Linked DNA regions of Xenopus tropicalis. The protein of the gene in region 1 purifies or fractionates together with the protein of each later gene. This does not show direct contact. Links are inferred from orthologs where the notes say so. Each region holds a gene or a part of one and is shown in the gene's direction. Other genes may lie near its edges.

The links.
Region 2: the proteins of polb (region 1) and lig3 purify together in Homo sapiens (affinity purification with mass spectrometry; 3 studies listed by BioGRID and IntAct, counting the BioPlex papers as one, with this or other methods). This does not show direct contact. The link is inferred for Xenopus tropicalis from reciprocal best matches to the Homo sapiens genes POLB and LIG3.

The regions. Positions count from the first base shown.
Region 1 is NC_030679.2:130,632,381-130,636,712, reverse strand, and holds the start of polb (DNA polymerase beta), read left to right. Parts: upstream 1-1,283; 5' UTR 1,284-1,327; coding exon 1,328-1,388; intron 1,389-3,568; coding exon 3,569-3,626; intron 3,627-4,332.
Region 2 is NC_030686.2:27,256,380-27,260,661, reverse strand, and holds the start of lig3 (DNA ligase 3), read left to right. Parts: upstream 1-1,435; 5' UTR 1,436-1,468; intron 1,469-1,783; 5' UTR 1,784-1,790; coding exon 1,791-2,241; intron 2,242-3,638; coding exon 3,639-3,773; intron 3,774-4,130; coding exon 4,131-4,282. UniProt on the Homo sapiens protein: Isoform 3 functions as a heterodimer with DNA-repair protein XRCC1 in the nucleus and can correct defective DNA strand-break repair and sister chromatid exchange following treatment with ionizing radiation and alkylating agents.

The DNA.
Region 1 (4,332 bases):
TGAAATTTCACATGGGGCTAGCCATATTCTGCATTTCCCAGGGTGCCACAGCCATGTGACCTGTGCTCTGATAAGCTTCAGTCACACTTTACTGCTGAGCTGCAAGTTGGAGTGATATCCCCCCTCCCAGCAGCCGATCAGCAGAACATTGGGAAGGGAGCAAGATAGCAGCTCCCAGTAGGTATCAGAATAGCACTCAATAGTAAGAAATCCAAGTCCGACTTGGGACTCCTCCAGTTGCATGGGAGTAGGAGAAACAATAGGTTAGCTGAAAGCAGTTCTAATGAGTAGCGCTGGCTCCTTCTGAAAGCTCAGACTCAGGCACAATGCACTGAGATGGAGCCTACACACCAATATTACAGCTAAATACATTTGTTGGTTCAAGAATAACATTTTAAATGGTAGCGTGAACTATTTGCTATGTAAACTGTGTAGTTTAGAAATAAAAAGTACAACATAAAAATCATGACAGATCCCCGGTGGCTTCATCAGAGGAGTTGACCTGTGTCGGCAATGCCCACTAGGTTCTCCAGGGGGCACATTTACAAAAGCACGAACGCTCGAGCGTTCATGCGAATGCTCCGAGTGTATTTTCGCCGATTTTTTCGGGCGTCCGCATGACTTTTTCGTACACCGCACAACTTTTTCGTACACCGCACAACTTTTTCGGACTTTTGCACGAAAAAATCGGAAAGGTTTTACCGCTGTTTACAATTGTTCGGTACGAAAATTTCATGACTTTCAGATCGCCAATACGATATTATCGTGACTAATGCGATTTTTTCATAAGCATTTTCGTGATATTTGCGATCTTTTGAAATTTTCGTTTCCAATACGATTTTTTCCCATTCGTGATTCGGATTCGTGGATTAGTAAATGTGCCCCCAGGTGTCCAACCAACCCAGACTGACCCTGTAGCCAACAAGTTTGATCTTTTGCTCTAGCAAATCCTAGCTACCTCTAGTTTATCAATACAGACAAGGGGCGTGGCCAAACCCAATTTGCCCCATGCATTCGTGTTCATTTTGGTCCCCATATATTAACCAAAGTCAGTATTATTTTCTCCACGCAAATTTCAACATTACCAGTAACTGAAATGACAAAATAAAGGAAAGACATCGGCAAGGTGAATAACTGAGTAGCTGTTGCAAAGGGTTTTGTGACAAGACTGTAACAAATTCCCTGATTAAATATGGCGGCATCTACTTGCCAGGCCTTTGCGTCATCAATCCGTGCTGACGTGTCATGCGGTACGTCCGGGCCTGCAGCGAAGCCTCAGCCTGCGGTCTCGATTACCTACCCAAGCTGCTGAGAGAAAGAGGCCGACATGAGCAAAAGGAAAGCCCCGCAAGAGAGCCTCAATGAAGGCATCACCGACTTCCTCGTAGGTAGGAGCGGGTTTGGAACTTTGGGCCCCAGAGAGAGAGAGAGGGCTAGACATATACAGTTACATACAAGCTGCCAATCAACGGGTCCTTTATTCACTGCCACTATGGGATCACTGTGGAGGGGGGGAGTATAGAGAGGAGACCAGCTGCAAAATGTGGGCTAGTTGTACTAAATGCAGCTGCAAAATGTGGGCTAGTTGTACTAAATGCAGCTGCAAGATGTGGGCTAGTTGTACTAAATGCAGCTGCAAAATGTGGGCTAGTTGTACTAAATGCAGCTGCAAAATGTGGGCTAGTTGTACTAAATGCAGCTGCAAAATGTGGGCTAGTTGTACTAAATGCAGCTGCAAGATGTGGGCTAGTTGTACTAAATGCAGCTGCAAAATGTGGGCTAGTTGTACTAAATGCAGCTGCAAGATGTGGGCTAGTTGTACTTAATGCAGCTGCAAGATGTGGGCTAGTTGTACTAAATGCAGCTGCAAGATGTGGGTTAGTTGTACTAAATACAGCTGCAAGATGTGGGCTAGTTGTACTAAATGCAGCTGCAAGATGTGGGCTAGTTGTACTTAATGCAGCTGCAAAGCTGAGGGGATTGCCTTTCATTTAACATGACACCTGAAGCTGGTACCATAAAGGAAAACTAAATACATTTTGACATAATAGAGACCCTGCTCCTCAACCACATCTCCCAGGGTTGGTGATTGCTTGGTTTTGTTGTGTCACATCCAGCCAGAGCTTTCATGGTGATTGCCAGGGCCAGGTTGCGCCCTCAGTGCCCTCGCTGCAGTTCAGCAATCACTACCCCAGAGCCTTTGGCAGAATGTGACATGGCGGCTGCTATCCCTGCTGTGGAAACCTGCATTTGGGCACAGGAATGCTGTTGTATAAAAATGGGTTTAGTTGCCCTTTAAGAAATACATGTTGCGATAACTGTACACCCCCTTAATTCAGTCATCTGTGGAGGCTTACTCCATAACTGGGATGCGTACGTTTGTAAAACTAATGTTGCCTTTAATTGGCGCGATTATAAAATGCGGCTTAATGGGCAAAATGTAATTCTATACATTCTAAATCAATGTATAAACTTGCTTGGAAATACATTTTCACAAGACAACACTTATTTATTTTTAAGTACTTTTTATGCCTCACTTACCATACCCAAAACGTATATACATATATATATTTTATATATTATTTTATATATAAACAAAGATATACATACACATATTTTGCGTCTCTCTAGCATGAAATGTAAAATTCAATCTTGCAGGCTTGTTTAACTTGGCGGTGCAATTGCTAGGGTATGGACACCCTAGAAACCAAACTGCAGTTTACTTAAAATTAATAAACTACAAAGGAAATAAAAAATACCAAGTGGATTGTGTCTCTGATTGTCTAGCTACAAATGGGACTCTAATGACCGTTAAAGGAGACACAGAGGATTACCGGAAAAAACCTCTAATCTTGTAGGCAATTATGAATAATATATGATGCTGGTTTCACGTTGTTCTTAAAATTAATATTATCTGTAAAAATGGCCCCTGTATTGGAGCTCCCTATAGATCCTCCCTGGTTCCGTGTCCATGTTTTAAATGTGGGTTAGCATCTCCTAATGGTCCCTGCCAGAAGCACAGTAGGAGGTGGATAGCCAATCACAGCCCTGCAGTCACACAAGCAAAGACAGGCTTCAGTTCCCTATCAGGTCAGCCTAGCTGCTGATGTATATGTATATATGTACATGAAGGTGTATATATACCTGTTTATCAAATGTCAACATGTCAAGAATGTTTTCTGACTTTTTGTTGCAGTTGTAAATTCCTCAACAATTTCCCTATTTACGAAAGCCCATTGGTTCGCCAGCCTTGAACTGACAATAGGCATTTTCCCTATGAGGCAAAAAGACACTTAAGGTGTTTCCCACACTCTGTGAATTATAATACGCCTTTAGGAAACTCGTCCTCAACAAGAAATATTTTCTTCATGAGAAAATAGTAGCCAGCAGTGGTTAAAAACTCCAAAAAGTATAAAATTGTCGCTGGGGAAAAAATCTGCAAAGGGCAATTGCAATGATTTGGTGACAAATTGTGAAAATGCTCAAAATGTTTTGTCATGTTTGTCATAATCTCTTTGTGCTTGTGATAAAAAGTATCACACAATAATGTCTTGTTTTGCAATTCCAGAGCTGGCTAATTATGAGAGGAATGTCAATAGAGCTATTCACAAATACAATGCTTACAGGTGAGGTGCCTGCTGCCCGCTTTGTGTCTGCTCTTTGCATGTGTATATATATATATATATAATATAATATATATTTGGATGTGTTTATAATTTGCTTTTTTATATTGGTTTAATGTGCAAACTTTAGCTGCAAGTCAAGATATAACCCATCCTCCTATCAGAATCAGTAAGAGCAATGGACTTTGGTGTCAGCATGCTGAATTATCTCCGGAATATGTGGCTCTCACTCTGCATTGTTGGATAATGTCTCATTTGGCCCTCCATACAAATTGGCACATAGTATTGATGAGTATATGTGATGGGCCAAGGCCACTGCAAGACAGCTACTGCCCCTCTTGCTTCCAGCTCTATGTGTATGACAGTGTTCTGCTCTATTCCGTCATTATTATGTTTGTATTATTTCTCAGTATAACAGAATAAGCAAAACACAGTGTTCCCTTTATACAAACATATCTTGATGAGATTCCATTCACTGTGCTGCCTTATTATTGAGCAGAGTTAAGGTGGCCATACACAGGCTGATTCTAGCTGCCAATATCAGTCCCTTAGACAGATTCAGCAGCTTATCGACCCGTGTATGGTCATTAACGACGGGCAGGTTTGATATTTAGTCGGATCGGGGACCGATGCAGTCCCCAAATCGACAAGCGCCTATACCCGTCATTTTAGTTCGATTGTTTGGCCCCAGGGCCAAACGACCGAATTA
Region 2 (4,282 bases), on another chromosome or scaffold:
AGCCACACTTGTGTTCATAAGGCACAGACGTAGGAAAAAAGTTCTTTTAGGATCCTAAATAAAGCTGGCCATACACGCACCGATAATATCGTATGAAACCTCGTTTCGTACGATATTCGGTGCGTGTATGGCAAGTCGGCGAGGCGACCGATATCGCAGGAAGCTGCTGATATCGGCCGACTCGCCGATCAGACCAGTTTGAAAATTTTGATAAGGCGCCTGACCAAAATCTCCCTTCAGCGCTGAATCGGCAGAAGGAGGTAGAAATCCTATTGTTTCTACCTCCTTACCTGCCAATTCAGCCCTGAATGGTGTGTGGCGGATCTGACGATGTTTCGTGCGACTGATGGTCACACGAAACATCGTCAGATCGCCACGTGTATGGCCAGCTTTAGGGCTGTGACGTGGCTATTTGGTGGCCCCATATTTTGAGTAAAACGGTCTCTCTGCGTCCAAACTCGCCTCCCAAGCCACTTGTTGGGGGTCACCGTTATAGGGGATCGCCATCTGAAAACTGTTTTTGCATAATGAGAGGCAATGTAATTCTAAGCCAGTTTCCTCTATACGTTTTCAGGGGATTTGCAGTTATTCGATAATTTATGGGAAAGTTGTTTACATTTTCTTTATTATCCTATATGGTTTTTTAGCAGGATCCTAAATGGGTTAGGGTTTACTTAAAGGAGAAGGAAAGGTAAAAACTAAGTAAGCCAACCATAAATACAGCCATAAGCACTCACAGTAATGCTGCACTGAGTCCTCTATCAAAAGAAACACAGGATTTTTTTGTCTCTTTTTTATTTTGTAAGCATGATGTTCCAGTGTCTGACTTTCTCTCTCAGAAACATCCTTAATTCCCCTGACCAGAGTCTGCGCAACTCTCTCCCCTCTCTTGCTCCTCCTCCCACCAGAATGCTAAGAACTCCCTCCCCCCCTCCCTTAGGAATGTGTGATCTGAGCTATAACTGCTAGAGACTGCAGGCAGGAAGCTACTTAAAATGGCAGCTGCTATCTTAAGCAAACAGAGAAAGCTTCTAAAGCTGTTTACTCAGGTATGGTAATGTTTTCTGCAGAATAAATATATTGTTATAGGTGGCACTAATGTGGCAAATCTATTGGCAGTAAAATGCCAAAATGACTTTCCTTCTCCTTTAAGGATCCAAGATATTTTGTGGAATTAAGGTACATTTTCTTACTATTATATATTGTCTGTTATCCAACTCCCAATCCATGTTTCTCTAATGGTCTAGTGAAAATAAAACCATTTTCAGATGTCAACGGGCTTTTTAATTTGTTTGTCTGTGTTATAGTAACAGGTTGATTTGCTGAATACATGTCAATGTTGCTGCTATTGGTTATATGTACTGTCTTATTCCTTCACGTGTAGTAATATGGACTGTCTATTTCCTTTACTTTCCTGTTTAGGTCAAGAAGCAACAAGAAAACAGATTTTTCATTATTAGAGCAATAGGCAAGTATATTCACCAGTCCTTGTAACTGAACTTATATTCCACAAGTGGGTATACAGGTATGGGACATGTTATCCAGAATGCTCGGGACCTGGGGTTTTCCGGATAAAGGGTCTTTCCTTAATTCGGATCTCCTACCTTAAGTAAAAATGTGAATTATTTGATTAAAATGGAGTCTATGGGAGATGACCTTTTCGTAATTCTGGATAATGGGTTTCCGGATAAGGGGTCCGATACCTGTACTGCCCCTTGCAATGATTTCACTTTCAAACTGCTGCCTAAAATCTGTCTCTAAAATATTTTATCTTTTAAACTAGGTGGTCTATGAGGGCATTTCTTAGACTTCTGGCATATCAGACCAAAAGGACACTTGGCCAGTCCTTAACAAAAGTTCCTTTACGAGTTATTTTTCATGCCTGTTGGAGCCAGTCGCCTCTCCACAGTGCTTTGCACTTCCAATTCTTTTTAAGAGTTACACATTTCTCCAACATGGCGGAACAGCGATACTGTGTGGAATATGCAAAACGTGGGACTGCTGGTTGCAAGAAATGCAAGGAGAAGATTGGAAAGGGTTTGGTACGCATAGGTAAAATAGTGCCAAACCCTTTTAGCGAGTCTGCTGGGGACATGAAGGAGTGGTACCACATCAAGTGCATGTTTGAGAAACTGGAGAGAGCGCGGGCAACTACAAAAAAAATTGATGATCTGACAGAACTGGAAGGTTGGCAGGAACTTCAAGACTGTGATAAAAACCTAATCAGCCAGCATGTCACTGGTAAACCTCTACTTGCATACTGTTTGTCTGGCTTACAATTGATTTTGTAACCATTTTATATTAAGTTCGCAATAAAAATCTAAAATGTCCAACAGTGCTCTACAGCAGATGTCCAGCCAAAAATAATTTGCTTTCCATAATAAAAGATGTAATTCTAAGCCACGTTCCGTTATATCTTAAAGGACATGTAAACCCCACACACACAATTTTAATCAGTGAACAGCCTCTTTCAATCTTTAAATACCTGCCACACTAGTTGTCCAGAGGTTAATAATAAGGCTGCAGCATCCCCTTAGATTTCCTTCTCCTCCTGTAACCCACTCGGCCCCCTCCCTCAGAAATTTGCTTTGACTTCTGGCTTGTGGGTATGCTCCGTTGTTAAAAGCTCAGATTACTAAACATGCCCTCCAGTCTAGCAGCCAGTGAAGAGATGGCATTGCTGGTTCCCATAGAAACTCCGCTCTAGCTGTCTGCTTCAATTTTGTTCTCCCAACCAACTCTCCTGAACTCAGCTCAAACAAAGCAGAACTTGTATCAGGCAGTTGTGCCTGTGTGAGCCCGTATTCTTGATGAAATGTGTTCTGAATAAGGGTCTGTGTGTGTGTATGTGTGTATGCTGTTTGCAGATTAAAATGTATCAGAGGAAAAAATTCCACCGGGTGAAAGTTGCTATTTGCTTTAGGAAAATGTGATGGTGCTAGCAAATGTAGGTGATATATGCAGTACAGATGATGCCATTTGAGTGGGGGAGACATGCCCAACTGATATACATTCTAGGCAAAAGTAGGCTTTACATGTACTTTAAAGGAATACTGTCATGGGGAAAACATGCTTTTTTTTCCAAAACACATCAGTTAATAGAGCTTCTCCGGTAGAATCCTGCATTGAAATCTGTTTTTCAAAACCGAAAACAGATTTTTTTTTTTTTTTTTTTTTATATTTAATTTTGAAATTTAGCATGGGGCTAGCCATATTCTTCATTTTCCAGGGTGCCACAGCCATTTGACCTGTGTTCTGATAAACTTCAGTCACCACTTTACTGCTGAGCTGCAAATTGAAGTGATATCACCCCCCTCCCAGCAGCCTATCAGCAGAACAGTGGGCAGGGAGCACAAAAGTTGGCAATAGTAGCTGAGTCTGAAGCATGTGTTCATGCTACAGCAACCCTGTGTTGATCAACCATAGGTAAAGCACTTAGTTGTAGGTGAGCTGAATGCATCTGTTGAAAACCTTATAGGTAATATCCTATGTTCAGATTGGTAGAAGGCTTGTACATCATGACCTAAGGCCTTGATGAAACTAGCTTTTGAGTTCCAAAAGTAACTGTTCCAAATAAGTTCTTATGTTATTGCACAGCTAGTACACACGCTACTAATATGACTTTCCTTTGTTTACAGAACTTGCTACAAAAACAGCAGCTACACCTCGAAAAAAGACTCCGTCCAAGGAAAAACAATCACCGGCAGTACAAGGAACAACTTCCACTACAGCACCAGCAGCTAGTCCCTCTCTAAAATTTTCAGGTTTCTCTGGTAATGCTTTATTTCTAGCACAGTAAAATTGTGATACTAATCGGAATCACACCATTATTAATCATAACTAACTCACCACTCCTCTCCCAGCCAATAGTTACTGACATTTCTGGTAGCACCAAATAGATATACATGTAAACATTATTTTCTTTGTTTTATATGCTTTGTATTCTTTTCTTTCTTTCTGCAATCATTATTTTATAACTTGTTTTTGCGGTTATAAAATGGGTTAAGTTGTGTGTGGTTTTTAAATCTGATATTCCCAGCAAACTAATATTAATGTAATATATTGTATTGTTTTTGTTCATCATTTGCCTTGGACATCTTGGAATTAATTGTAGTGCCTTTTTTTAACAGCAAAACCCAGTCAATCATCAAGCCCACCAAGCTCAAGCACTGGCTCCAGTCTTTCAACTGCAAAGTGTGACCCAAAACATAAGGACTGTCTTCTGCGTGAGTTCCGCAAGCTATGTGCAATGGTTGCGGAACAGCCAAGCTACAACAGCAAA